Linked DNA regions of Coturnix japonica. The protein of the gene in region 1 purifies or fractionates together with the protein of each later gene. This does not show direct contact. Links are inferred from orthologs where the notes say so. Each region holds a gene or a part of one and is shown in the gene's direction. Other genes may lie near its edges.

The links.
Region 2: the proteins of ARPC1A (region 1) and ARPC2 purify together in Homo sapiens (affinity purification with mass spectrometry; 8 studies listed by BioGRID and IntAct, counting the BioPlex papers as one, with this or other methods). This does not show direct contact. The link is inferred for Coturnix japonica from reciprocal best matches to the Homo sapiens genes ARPC1A and ARPC2.
Region 3: the proteins of ARPC1A (region 1) and ACTR3 purify together in Homo sapiens (affinity purification with mass spectrometry; 7 studies listed by BioGRID and IntAct, counting the BioPlex papers as one, with this or other methods). This does not show direct contact. The link is inferred for Coturnix japonica from reciprocal best matches to the Homo sapiens genes ARPC1A and ACTR3.

Annotation. Positions count from the first base shown.
Region 1 is NC_029529.1:4,392,684-4,396,697, forward strand, and holds the start of ARPC1A (actin-related protein 2/3 complex subunit 1A), read left to right. Parts: upstream 1-1,206; 5' UTR 1,207-1,339; intron 1,340-1,727; exon of another isoform or gene 1,728-1,829; intron 1,830-2,135; exon of another isoform or gene 2,136-3,048; intron 3,049-4,014. UniProt on the Homo sapiens protein: Probably functions as a component of the Arp2/3 complex which is involved in regulation of actin polymerization and together with an activating nucleation-promoting factor (NPF) mediates the formation of branched actin networks.
Region 2 is NC_029522.1:24,164,783-24,169,042, forward strand, and holds the start of ARPC2 (actin-related protein 2/3 complex subunit 2), read left to right. Parts: upstream 1-1,452; 5' UTR 1,453-1,578; coding exon 1,579-1,652; intron 1,653-4,260. Other genes in the region: C-X-C chemokine receptor type 1-like, read right to left, coding at 1-270, 865-1,354. UniProt on the Homo sapiens protein: Actin-binding component of the Arp2/3 complex, a multiprotein complex that mediates actin polymerization upon stimulation by nucleation-promoting factor (NPF).
Region 3 is NC_029522.1:26,881,514-26,885,715, reverse strand, and holds the start of ACTR3 (actin-related protein 3), read left to right. Parts: upstream 1-1,394; 5' UTR 1,395-1,527; coding exon 1,528-1,571; intron 1,572-4,202. UniProt on the Homo sapiens protein: ATP-binding component of the Arp2/3 complex, a multiprotein complex that mediates actin polymerization upon stimulation by nucleation-promoting factor (NPF).

The DNA of each region.
Region 1 (4,014 bases):
CCTACTACCCCCAATGGACATGAGAGAACAAATCGTCCCTTCCCTCATGGCAGCATCCTTTTATCTATTTGAAGACTTACGTCTGTGGCTCTGTTCCCTCCAGCTCTGTAACAGTCATGTGTTCAAAGACTGAGCATTATTTTTACCCTTTTTCCTCTAAATCACACACATTTTGCTCACATGGAGCCCAGCACTGGACACACCGTTTTAGCACAGCTCAGCATGGCAGGATGCCTGTATCCTATTAGCACTATACAGACCTGCATGGCATTCACTGCTCTAACAGCAGGACATTGCTATTCAGCTTGCAGCCCACAGCAGCTCCTCCATCCCTTCCTATAACACACAGCTGCCTTTCCTAACACCAATACAACCAGCCCCACAGTTATAAGCACACAGTACTACCTGATGCTTTTTCCCATTGAGTTCCCCTCTTTGCATTCTAGCCCTCTGACAGTGCATTAATACAAGCTCAGACTTGACCCCATCTCCAAACACAGCAATTACAGGGGCTGTTTCATTATAAATGAATAATGGACCGAAGGTATTTCCCCAGACAAGCGCTGACACCAAGTACATTGTACCCCAACCAGCTCTACCATGCTGGACACAGCTTGCCTTGCTCCCTCCATCCACCGAGGCACAGCATGCCCCCCTCACACAGCCATAGAGCCCTCTTACACCTATAGACCCCCCTCACACAGCCATAGACCCCTCTTACACCTATAGACCCCCTTCACACAGCCATAGACCCCTCTTACACCTATAGACCCCCCCCTCACACAGCCATAGAGCCCTCTCACACCTATAGACCCCCCTCACAAGCCAGCACAAAGACGCCTCTTTACACTCTTACTATAACTTCCCCTCTCAGCACCTATAGGAGCCCCTCAACACAGCTATAGACCCCTCAACAACAGCCCATAGACCTCTACACCTATAGACCCCCTCACACAGCCATAGAGCCCTCTTACACCTATAGACCCCCTCACACACAACGTGAAGCCCCCCCCATCTGTGCCACATCCCCACACTGCGCATGCGCCCCCAACCCGCCCGCCGCCTTTGTGTGCGGCACATTCCTCCCTCCCCCCCGCGCATGCGCACAACGCCTTCCCGTCACGCCCCGACACCCCCCTCCCCGTCAGCATGGCGCATGCGCATCCCGCGGGGTTGGCCGGCGGGCGGCGCGCATGCGCAGTGCGCGTTTCCTGGCTCCCTTGTCAGTGCCGGGCCGCCCCCCTTTCCCACCCCTCCCCTCGGCCGCCGCCGCCGCCCGGAGCGGAGTCGCGTTGACTGCCCAGAGTCCGCGAGCCCCGCTCCGCCCCCGCAGCCTCAGGTGAGTCCCGGCCCCGACCGAACGGCTGGCCGCCCTCAGGCCCAGCTGCTGAGGGGGCGGCGGCTCTGCAGCACTCAGCCGCGGCCTGCCCGCCGTGCGGGGCCCGTACCCGGCCCTGTGCTCATAGAGGGGCGGGTGGGCCGGGAGAGGGGGCGGCGGGGCAGCTCCGTCCTTGTCCGCACCGCACAGCGGCCTCAGCACCGGGCACCTGTGTGGGACGGCACCGCCCGGCTGAGTGCGGCCACCGCCCCGACGGGAACGGGCCGATATGACAGCGGGGGGAGGCAGCGATCAGTCACAGGCAGCTCTGGAAATAGGCAGAGATTTACAGCAGCTCTCACACTCACACTGTCTGTAATTTGGAAGCATCTCCTCGCTGTCTCCTTACCTCGTGCTTCTCGAGAGGTGACAGCAGCTCAGTCCTGGGCTTCTCAGGGCTGAGTTTCTGAGGGGCTGTGTGGGTGAGCAGGAGGAATTTTGGCACCCTGCCCTTAAAAGAAAATATTGAAACAAGGACAATTAGTTTGCATTTGAAAGGAAGCTCTATCTACCTAACAAAGTTACCTTGACAGTGCCTTTCCTATGTTAAATCCTGAGCTTGGCAGACAGGAGAACACTGTGGGGTTTATGCTGTATTGGTTACATCAAGTCATTCAGCCACTGATAAGAAATAAATCTTCATAAGATCTTACAAACAGTATTTATCTCCCCAAAGGAAATAATATTGCAACGATCAGATGGCAAATATTTGTGCTCTTTGAGATTGTCATCACTGTTCTTTCTTAATGAACATTACCTGCTTGCTGTGAGTTGTGGTGCTTGAGAAGGATGAGGATGCATCATGTCCCTTGTCCAGCTGTAAGCTTTGGGAACAGCCTGTAGGTTAGTGAGCAAAACAATCTCTGAACTAGGAGCTGTTAGGATGGGACAGCAGTGTTTGTACAGGGAGCCAATCTGTGCAGAAAGCACGAGGACTGCATTAGAAATAGCTGCATTCTTCAGGCAGCAGAGATTGGATAGTTTTACTTTGTATTTGGAAAGAATCAAAAAGGCTGAGCATTCCCTGTTGGTAGAAGAGCTCGTCAGCTTTTCTTGTATATGGAAATGCACTGCTACTGAATTGCTGGCATGTATTAAAGCAAGACTGGGGAAAAAGCAATTTGCTGTGATGTTTTGCTTATGTTAATGCATGGAATCTCACACCATAGCTGCCCAAGGTCAGAGGTAACTTGGATCATGGCAGTTCTCTCACATTAATAAAAATAAGTAATTATTCTTCTGAGGGCTGTACTCAAATAGCAGCTTTATGTGATCTTTAGCATATGATTATTAGAAGAAAATTAGAACAGTTACAATTATGAACTGGACTTAAAATGAAGTTCAGCTAAATGAGCTTTGAGTACATTTAATGACACTGCAGATCATGGCTTTCATATATAATATAGATTACTATATATATATATATATGAACAGTGCTGCATCATCTCTACTCAGGACTTTAGGCATATTTCTTAAAGCAGGGGAGTGCTCAGCTCTGTAAGGGGTTACTCATCTCTCATTCACTCCTGAGTTTCTGTGGGACTGCCGTTCATTTCCTGTTTGCTTCCAAATTCCTACCTTGTCCTGAAGTCTCCACCCTCTGCTAACATGGCCATACTTGGCTATGTTGTAATTTCAGGCTGCGATGGGTGTGGATGTCTTGGAGTGACATCACAGAGATGGTGCTTTTTAGATGTATGCAGTGGGGCAGACCGACAACGTGCCATCAGCCATGGATAAATTGCTACAAAAGTTTGTTTAATATGTGAAAGGAGGAAGAAATGGACAAATCCAAGTTGTGTGTGTTGAGCTGTGCACATTGCAGCTGTTGCAGGTGACCTTGAGTTGTTACAGTGCTACCTTCCATCCGTTTATGCTGTCCTTGATTAACACAGGACACAGAAATAAGATCTGATATATTAAACAGCTTCGCAGTCACCTGTTTGCACTGTCTCTTTCATAAGAGAAAAGAAAAAACTGGGTGTCTCACTTTGTATGAAACAAAGCATTCACAAACCCAAAGAATTCAATTTGATCTTTTACTGTTTGAGTCTCATAAGGATGGAAGCCATAAAGCAATTAATTGTTAGGATTAATTTGAAGGAATTAGTAATTAATTACTGATGTTAGTAGTTTTTCCCTGGGATACACATAAGTAGTTTTATCAAGCAACACATCAGCAGATTACAGTCACATCTGAGCACATCAGCTTAACCTCCTGATGGATGGAAAAGAAAAAGGCTTCATTGAGGCTCACAGCACTACAATACACACCAGAATGTCAAATCAGTTCACTGAGACATCACTGAATTTCTTATTTAAGTATTCTAATTCCCCAGTTAAATTCTTAGGTGTGTTAATTTCATAAGAACCTGTTTCCTCTTATGAGGATACAGGAAGAAACAAGTGCATACACCTTTTAGAGCAATTCATTGACCTACTAAAGATCTTGGGGCACACAGGGAAAGGTCTTAATTACAATGACACATGCACAGTAGATAGATCATCATAGTGGACTGAAGCAGCCTTTGTAGATGTTCAAGACCGATTTGTTTTTATAACTGTTCAACTTTGAAGTGCTTTGTTGTCATTTTTACATCTTTACGTTTTTTTTCCCCCCCCCCAACTTTTACAAC
Region 2 (4,260 bases), on another chromosome or scaffold:
CCAGGTTGAGCAGGTAGATGTCGGTGACGGAGCGGTTCATGTGGCTGGAGGTGACCACCAGCACCACCAGCCCGTTGCCCACCATGCTGAGGAGGAAGACCAAGCAGTAGATGAAGGCTACGAAGTATTTGTTGGCTACAGAACCTTCATTACGGCATGGGGAAGAGGAGACATCGATGTCAGGCAGAACCAGGCTGTAGTTGCCATAGTCAGAAGTGTAGTTGTATAAGATATCGAAGAGTTCATCGGCGTAAAATGTCCCCATTTTGCCTGCAAAGCACAAAGCAACGTGGGCTCAGGGCACATCCAGCACTTCCAGCCCCCATTGCTCTCCCACACCCCATAACCTCACCACACCATACAATGAACAGGCTCATGCCTGAAAACTATCCCCATACGTCCTCCTGCCCAACAGCCCCGTGTGGACTGCTTCACCTCAGCACTGTCCCCTCCAGGTTCAGCCCCAATGAAGGATCCCTCCTGAGTCCCTCCGGTTGGTGTGAGTCCTTTGAATCCTGATGTCCTCCCCAAAAACCCTTCTCACACCAGCTCCCCGAGTGCACCACAGTACCCAGAGCAGAGGAAACACGCTTCTCCCCACTATATTTTTGGCTTCTCCTTCCGATTCCCCACCCAAATTCCCTGCAGTTCCTATGGGGACAGATTTCTGCCCACAGAAGGGGAAGTCTCCATTTCCTCCCTGGACCCCACGCAGAAAACTACTTGGGGACATCAGCTCCCCCCAGGGTTGGGGTTACCCTACGTGGAGCTCAGATTATGCTATGCAGAGCCCTCCCTGCACCCCTTGCCCAGGTAAGCAGGGTGCCCCATGGCACCCCATAGCCAAGCATCCCACGCACTCACCGCCTCTGCTGCACCCCAAATCTTCTCCCCTTCCCAGCTCCAAGCCCGGCTGAGGTCTGCCACGGGATGTTACCCCAAAACGGAGACCCTGGGGAGCACGGGGACGTGCCAGCAGGTCCCACACCTGCACCAAGTGAGCCAGGCTCAGAGCTGGCACTGCCGCTTTATGCAGCGCAGGGAGGAAGCAAGGTTGCAAAACCTTCTGCAGCACGAAGAGGAAGCGGCAGCAGAGGGGACACCTTCCCTGCACCCCCAGCCCAGGGCACAGCACACCCGCTTTGCACGGCTGGGGGGGGTTCGTGGGGCTCTGCTGGCCATGGGGCTTCACCCCATCCCTATGGGTGCTCCGGGGACACCCCATATTATCCTGGGGCGCTCTCACATCATTAGTATAACGCTGGGGGGGCACTGTAGGGACTCCATCATCACACATAGGGACTCCATCATCCCACACAGGGACTCCATCACCCCACATGTAGGCAGTCCCCATTCCGGCTCACCCCACCATTCCCCCTTCACACCCCACATTCACTCCCGACCCCCATCATGTAGGCGGTGTGTGTTGGGGGGGGGCGGGACGAGCCCGGAAGTGACGCGCGGGCTCGAGAGCGGAAGCGGCGGCGCAGGCTCGGGCGGGTCCCCGGTGCGCGCAGCGGGCTCGGCTCCCTCCGGCCTCGGAGCGCTGAGAGCCGGTTCCCCAACCCCGGTACCGACATGATCCTGCTCGAGGTCAACAACCGTATCATCGAAGAGACCCTCACGTTGAAGTTCGAGGGCGCGGCCGCCGGGTAGGGCAGGGAGATGGGTCGGTGAATGAGGCCGGGGCGGGGCGGAGGAGGAAGCGTTGCGGCCTAGTGAGGCCTGAGGGAGGGGAGGGGGATAAGGAGCTAAGGGATAATGTCTATGGGAGAGGCGTGGGAGGGGCGGGTGGCACCGAGCTGGGCCTTGGGTGTGAGGTATGACAGGGCAATGGGGACATGGGGTGGGGCCGGCAAGGGTGGAGGGGGCTGAGGTGGTGGGACTGAGTGGATGAATGGAAGATTGTGTGAGGCCAGGCTCCATGGGGTGCTTAGGGCTGGGATTAGGTGAGAGTGATGGAGCTTGTGGTGTTGGGGTGTGCCATTGGGATGGGAGGTGTTGGCAGGGTCAGAGGATCCGCTTGTCCTGGCTGCTGGCATAGGGCTGCTGAGCATCTTGGCTTTGTGGAGGTTGTAGGGCAGTTGATCTGCACCTGTATCTTTGGTCTGGATCATATAGTCCCCGGGGAGCCACTGAGTGTTACTGACAGCAGCGCTTCAGTGCTGGGAAGATATTGTCTGAGCATAGTTCAGCTTGAGACAGTCATCTCACGTGAATGCCCTTATCTGCAGCCATGCAATCTCCAGAAAGAGATGCTGCCTTAGTGGTGGTCAGCCCTTAAATGGGATCTAGGAGACGTGGAGTCAAGCTCCACCCCTTCCAGGAGCACAGCTGAATTACCTTCACCTGTGCTCCCACAGCTCCCACTGTGCTGCCTTGTGGGATCACCACGCTGCTCTCTTCCCTGCCATCAGCCTCTTCATGTGATTATTTAGTGCAACATATCCCCAAAGCACCACACTGGGAGGAGAGAGCTCTTGGGTGCTGCATTTTCCATTAGGAAAAAAACCTGAAGTATCTGGAGGTTAATAGTGTGTGTCAAAAAACACTCGTTCACCACAAGCTCATATGGAGGCGTTCTGCTGGTGGGAGCCTGTGTGCGTGTCCCTGCATCAGTCCAAGTGCAGCAGCAGCAGTGAATGGAGGATGCAGCCATCAGGAGACTGAGTGCAGCTCAAAGCCCTGACTCAGTGCAGCTAGAGCTGAGGTTACTCACTCACCTCCAATCTACAATGTTTCCATTTTGCTGTACAGCAAAGCTTGTTACTGCCTCAGCGTGCTTGCCTGGCATACCAATCCTTCCTGGATCAATTTGCTGTGAGTGTGGCCAATGATATTCTGCCTCTTGTTCTATGGGCCGTCCTTTCTTTTGCATAGAAGACCAGCTAAGTGCTCCTTCTGGATGAGTGTTGCACCCTCAGAATGTTGCTGGAGGGGAGGAAGTAATTCACTTCTGCATTTTCTTCTGTGCTTGTGCTGTTCTGCTGTCCAGGAAAGAACAAGGCATGGATGAAGGTCAGAGATGAAACCAAGGAAAATGGAAATCTACTTCTCTGAACAAGTCTTTTTGGGTACTGGTGCTATGCCATGCCATGTTTATTCATGAGATATTTCTTTTCCATCCAGCTGGTGTTCCAGGGTCATCCTGTGGCATTGAGCTTGAAGGCAGGAGGGGATTTGCTCTGTTTGGGTGACCGTCAACCCAAGATGTGTCCTGGGGATGGACCCAGGGTGGTCAGGGCAAGGACACACTCCAAGGGATTAAGTGATTGAGAGGAGTAAGTCACTGTGAGCTGACCCTGAGTTATCTGCCCTGCAACTTGAATTGTGCAGATGTGATGCACAGTTTATCTAAACTTGCTCCATGATGTGGGCACTTCCCTCTCCTTCTGTGACTGTGCCATGGATCCAGCAGCTCCCTGAGCTGAAAGATTAGTCTGTCAAAGTGCTGAAGTGGGGGAATACCTGGGAACAATAACCTATTTTCAAGGTAAAACATTTCTGTCTCCTGTGTTCACTTCTTTTTAAAGCACAGCAGAGAACTACCCCCCCAAAACAGATTTGCCCTCCAGTTTTGGTCCACTCTGATCCCAGCCAAACTGTAGCAGAGGGCTTGTGTTCTTAGGTATGGTTCTTCAGCCTTACATTGCTGGCAGTTTAGGGCAAGCTAATTAATCATCTGTCTCAAATTGGTACTTACTGTTTACCTGCTGTGCAGGAGAAGAAATTGCATAGGTGGAGAACAGTGTGATTTTTCCCTTGGTTGGAGGTGGAGGGGAAACATATCTCATTCAATGTTAGGTTTCTGTAAAGCTTTCAATAGGGGCAAATTTGCAGGGTTTCATGAGTGCTGGTTGAATGGGAAAACAGCTGAAGCTTCAACTTCTGTGCTGTAAACCAGTTCCTGTAGGCTGCTTGGAGAGTTTGGCTGCAACTGCATCCACATCCTCTGTGGTATTTCCCATTTGTGGTCCCTGTGGTGCTCACCTGCTCTGCAGTGGAGTGCTCTGGCCTTGCTGGGTGAAGGTGGGTGATACGAACTTTGTGCTGCCAGTGCTGCCTGGGAGTGACTTCCTTGTGGGGTAGCTGGGGACAGCACAGGGATGGAGGAGCTCAGGCAGCCCAGCATCTGCAGAATGGCCAATCCTGGAGCAGGTGAGAAGCGTTCAGGTGATGTTTGCACTTTGGGGTTCGGTGCAGGATCAGCAGCACCTCCTGCAGCTGCCGCGTTTGGTGCAAGACAAGAGCAGATATCAG
Region 3 (4,202 bases), on another chromosome or scaffold:
GGGCTTTTATGTGGCTCCTGCACCCAAGGGCAGGGAGTGTGGGTGGAGGCCCCCGGTGAGGCTGATTAAAGTCATTAAGGGCCATTACTTAAAGCCATTAAGTCCCATTAAGGAAACTGTGAGCCTTAATAGCTCCTTCTTTGGATAGGTAACCAATTTTGTCTTTGGCAGGACATCATGTTACACCACCAAAAGCACCCTCCTATTGCAAAGGCTGTAACAGCAAGTAAAGTACAGAGAAAAACCCACAATATCACATGAGCTGAAACGTTAAAATGTATTGACAGCAAACAAAAATAGTGTGCGTGTACAGAATATTATGGGGCCAGATCTGTTGATCACAGCAGCCTGTCTTTCAGACACCAAAGCACTGTGAAAGGTGGAAAGGAAAAGAGCGACTTTTCAAATACCTTTTTATTTGTTGGTTTGTTTTTGTTGTTTTTTTTCACCTGAAGGCCTCACCTCCCAGCCTGCCTCAAAGCACTGCCCCGGGCCTATGACCAAACCCAACGGGGGGATGGATGCCATCCATCCCTGTGCTAGTTTTGCTGGGAGGGCTGACCAGGGCAATGCCCATGCTTTGTGGTTTGAGATAGCAGCATAGAGGTCTTATTTAATGGAGAGCAGGGTAGGAAGGGGACCTCAGACTGCTCCTTTGGATGCCTGTGAGTAAAGAGGTGCCTGAGGGACTCAAATATCAGAAGGGAAGCAGGACGGTGGGCAGTCAGCTGCATCTGGTTCTCTCCCACGGAAGTGTTTTGCTTGTGAGCAGTGCTGAAGGAAGCCAGAGAGCATCTGTAGCACTTCTGGAAACACCAAAAAAAAAAAAAAAGCAGAAGAAAGAGTGAGACTTCTGCATTTGCCCTTTGATGACCGTGTCTATGGAGAAGGCTCTTCATGCCCTACTAGGGGCAGTTATCTACAGCCGTCACTGGTGGTGGACGAAGAAGCCATCCTCTTGTCATTTTTAGCACTCTCTTCCCATCACAGAGGCCTGTCCCGCCTTCTCTCAGCTTTCAGGCATTAAAATACAGTCACAGAATCACAGAATGACCCGGGTTGGAAGGGACCTCAAGGATCACGTAGTTCCAACCCCCCTGCCTGGCAGGGCCACCAAACATACACCTTTACTAGATCAGGTTGCCCAGGGCCCAGTCCAACCTGGTCTTGAACACCTCCAAGGACGGGGCATCCACAACCTCCCTGGGCAGCCTGTTCCATGGTCTAACCACTCTCCTAGTGAAGAACTTCCCCCTAACATCCAACCTAAATCTTCCCTCTTTTAACTTAAAACCATTTAAAACGAGATCGGACGTCAGCGATGGGTTTGTCGCGCCCGCCCTCTCCGCCGTAGCGCGCAGGGAGGGGCGGCTCAGCCATCTTGGTGTCGCCGGGCCGTGCGTGCGGGCGCAGGGAGGAGGAGCGTCCGCCTTGCGGAAGTGCCCTCGCCCCCTGAGCCGGAGCCGAGCGGAGCCGGAGCGCGCCCAGGGCTGCCCGCCGTCCCCAGCACCGTCGCTACCGAGGAGCATGGCAGGGCGGCTTCCGGCCTGTGTGGTGGACTGCGGCACGGGGTGAGCGCCGCTGACAGCTCGGAGCCGGTGGGGAGGGGCAGCCGCCGCCGCCGGAGATGGCGGCGAGGGGCGTGCGGTGGTACGGGAGGGCCGGGCCGGGCGGGGTAGTAGCGCTGCCCGCTCCCCATCCGCTGTTGGAGGGGAGGCCGCGGGGGGCTGTGCCCGCTGCCCGCAGCGCTGAGGGCGCGGTGCTTGGTGCTGATGGAGCCCCGCTGAGGGCGGTGGTCCATGCGGAGCGCTGCGCTCGGAGCTGCCGCCCGGCCGCGTGTTCGTGGCGGTGATTTTTTCATGTCATTTATTCTGTGTTACTTCTATCAGTGAAACGGGGGGAAAAAAAAAAAAAGAAAAAGAACCCCTCCCCCGCCAGTGAGCAAGCGCAGAGGAACTTCCTTAGTTTTGTCAAAGCCTCTTCCTGCTTTCAGGCTTTTATACCTTATAAGGCAGTTTTTTCAGTGTCAAACCTGAAGCAAATCCGATTTAGAAACTCTTCTTTTTTTATTTAGCAGCGCGTCAAAAGGTGAAGAGGATGGGATGCCGGCGATGTGCTGTGTGAAGCACGGCCCTGTGGGGTGGGAGCCCCGGGGGTTCGGCCCCTCCAGCCCTATGACGGGGGCTGGGTGCCCTGCAGAGCTACAGCACGGCCTGGGTGCTGCTGGGGGTCACTGGGCTGATCGCAGCAGTGCTCAGGAAGTGAAAACCACATCGCAGCCGCTCTCTGTAGTGCGGTTATCCAGATAGAATGGTTCATTTGAGCCCTTCTGCACTGGGTTCTTATTGGGAAGAGAAGTACCGGTGTATGGGCTGAGCTCTTCCTCTTTGACTAGCGCTGGTGGTTCTGAAACTTGGCTTTCTGTTTTGTTTCTCATCCGTCTTCCTGCAAGTAATGGGGGAAGTTTCTGGGTGAATGCAACCTAGGGGTAGAAATTAACAGTCCACTTCATATATATATTCATCTGGAACTGAAAGCACATCCTCGTCTTCTCTACCAGAGAATCCATTTGGTTTAAGACATTAGTAAGTCTCATGCAAGAAGAGTAGTATCTATGTAATGTCTATATGTTTAACATTTGTGTGAAGAAGTCTTGTTTGTAGTTAGAGCAAGAGCAAAACTTGCGCATTTTGTGGGATAAACACAGCAGGAATGAGAGCGTGTGGTTGCATGTATTGGAAGCATACAGGCATCATATGATGCTTTGGCCTCTTCTCCCAGGCAGTGAGCAGTAGAATGAGATGTGACAGCCTCACGTTCTGCTAGTAGAGGTTCAGGTTGGGTATTGGGTAGCTTCTTCTCAGAAAGAGCGATAATGAATTGAAATGGGCTGCCCTGGGAGATGATTGAGCCAAGAGCTGTGGAGATTTGCTGCCGAGTGACATGGTTAGTGGGCATGGTGGGGAGGGTTGAAAGTAGAGGTTGTAATTGCTAGAGTCAGGCAATTTGATCAGAGCTTCCAGTGATGCTAGCCAGAAGCAGCGCAGCAGAATTCAGCTGTGCAAGGAACCACACAGTTCTCTTGATGTGAGAGGCTTACCGAGGGACCTGAATGTTAAGAACATATCTTCCTGGAGAGTCAGCACGTAAGTGCGCCATTAGTCAACCTCATTGTGCAGGACATGCTCTAATGTTCTGTTATGTGCTGCTGACCACATCTCCCTACTTTATTTTGTTCTTCAGAGATCTCTCCGATGTGCTGTTTTACCATCGGTCTGCGTTACTTTGAAAATGGTTCTACTACTACTTCTGTTTCTGATGCATCTCATAGTGCCAGGTTCCCCTTTCTTGAAGTTCCGTTGTGCTGAATTGTGGATGGAGACTTGAACTTTTGGAAGCTGACGGAGAATTTGGCATGTTAGAATGTCAGTAGGTGAAGATGTGAAGTGGTCAATTAACAAAATGAACTCCTGAGACAAAGGGGAAACTAGCATGGAAAAGGATGGAGTGAAGTAGTAGTAGTGAAATAGGATGTGGTAGCATAATCGCAATGACTGCTTCTTCCATTGCACCCCTCCCTGTTCCATCTCATTTGGTGTGTATAAGCAAGGTTGTTACTCACGCACTATGTGTATGTGCTCTGTGCAGATCACCTGAGGTCTCAGCTATGGCATTGTCTCTTTGATTTTGGTAGGCAAGACAAGTTAGAGAGAGACACTGAGAACAAGGGGAGAGACTTAGGAAGTATAACCAATACAAAAAGGTTGAAAGGAACTCTTGTTAAGAGCAGGCAAGATTTTTGTGCCCAAGTTTTCCAATAATTACGGGATGTTTTGGAGAGCAGATCTTCCTGCATGTCATTCATGCATGTAGGTATGGGTTCATCTGGTGCAGTTTGAGATGAGTGGTTGGTGTGTTTTCTTTTTTACCAGCTAATGTTGAGGGGAAGGAGAAGGGTGAGGGGGGGGGCACTTGTGCTTCTCAGCATCAGCCTGCACAGATTTAGCCATATGTTAAGAACCCCTTACAAAGCATGAAGGGAACAGAGCACAGAAAGGGTTAGGGAGAGAGCGCCCTACCTGTTCTCTGATGTTTTAACAGTCAGATGTTTTAGGGACGGTCCAGGTGCACGTCATGCAGCTGGAGCTGGCAAATGGGTGAAGTCAATGGCATTGGCAGTCAGATTATGGGTGCAGCAATAA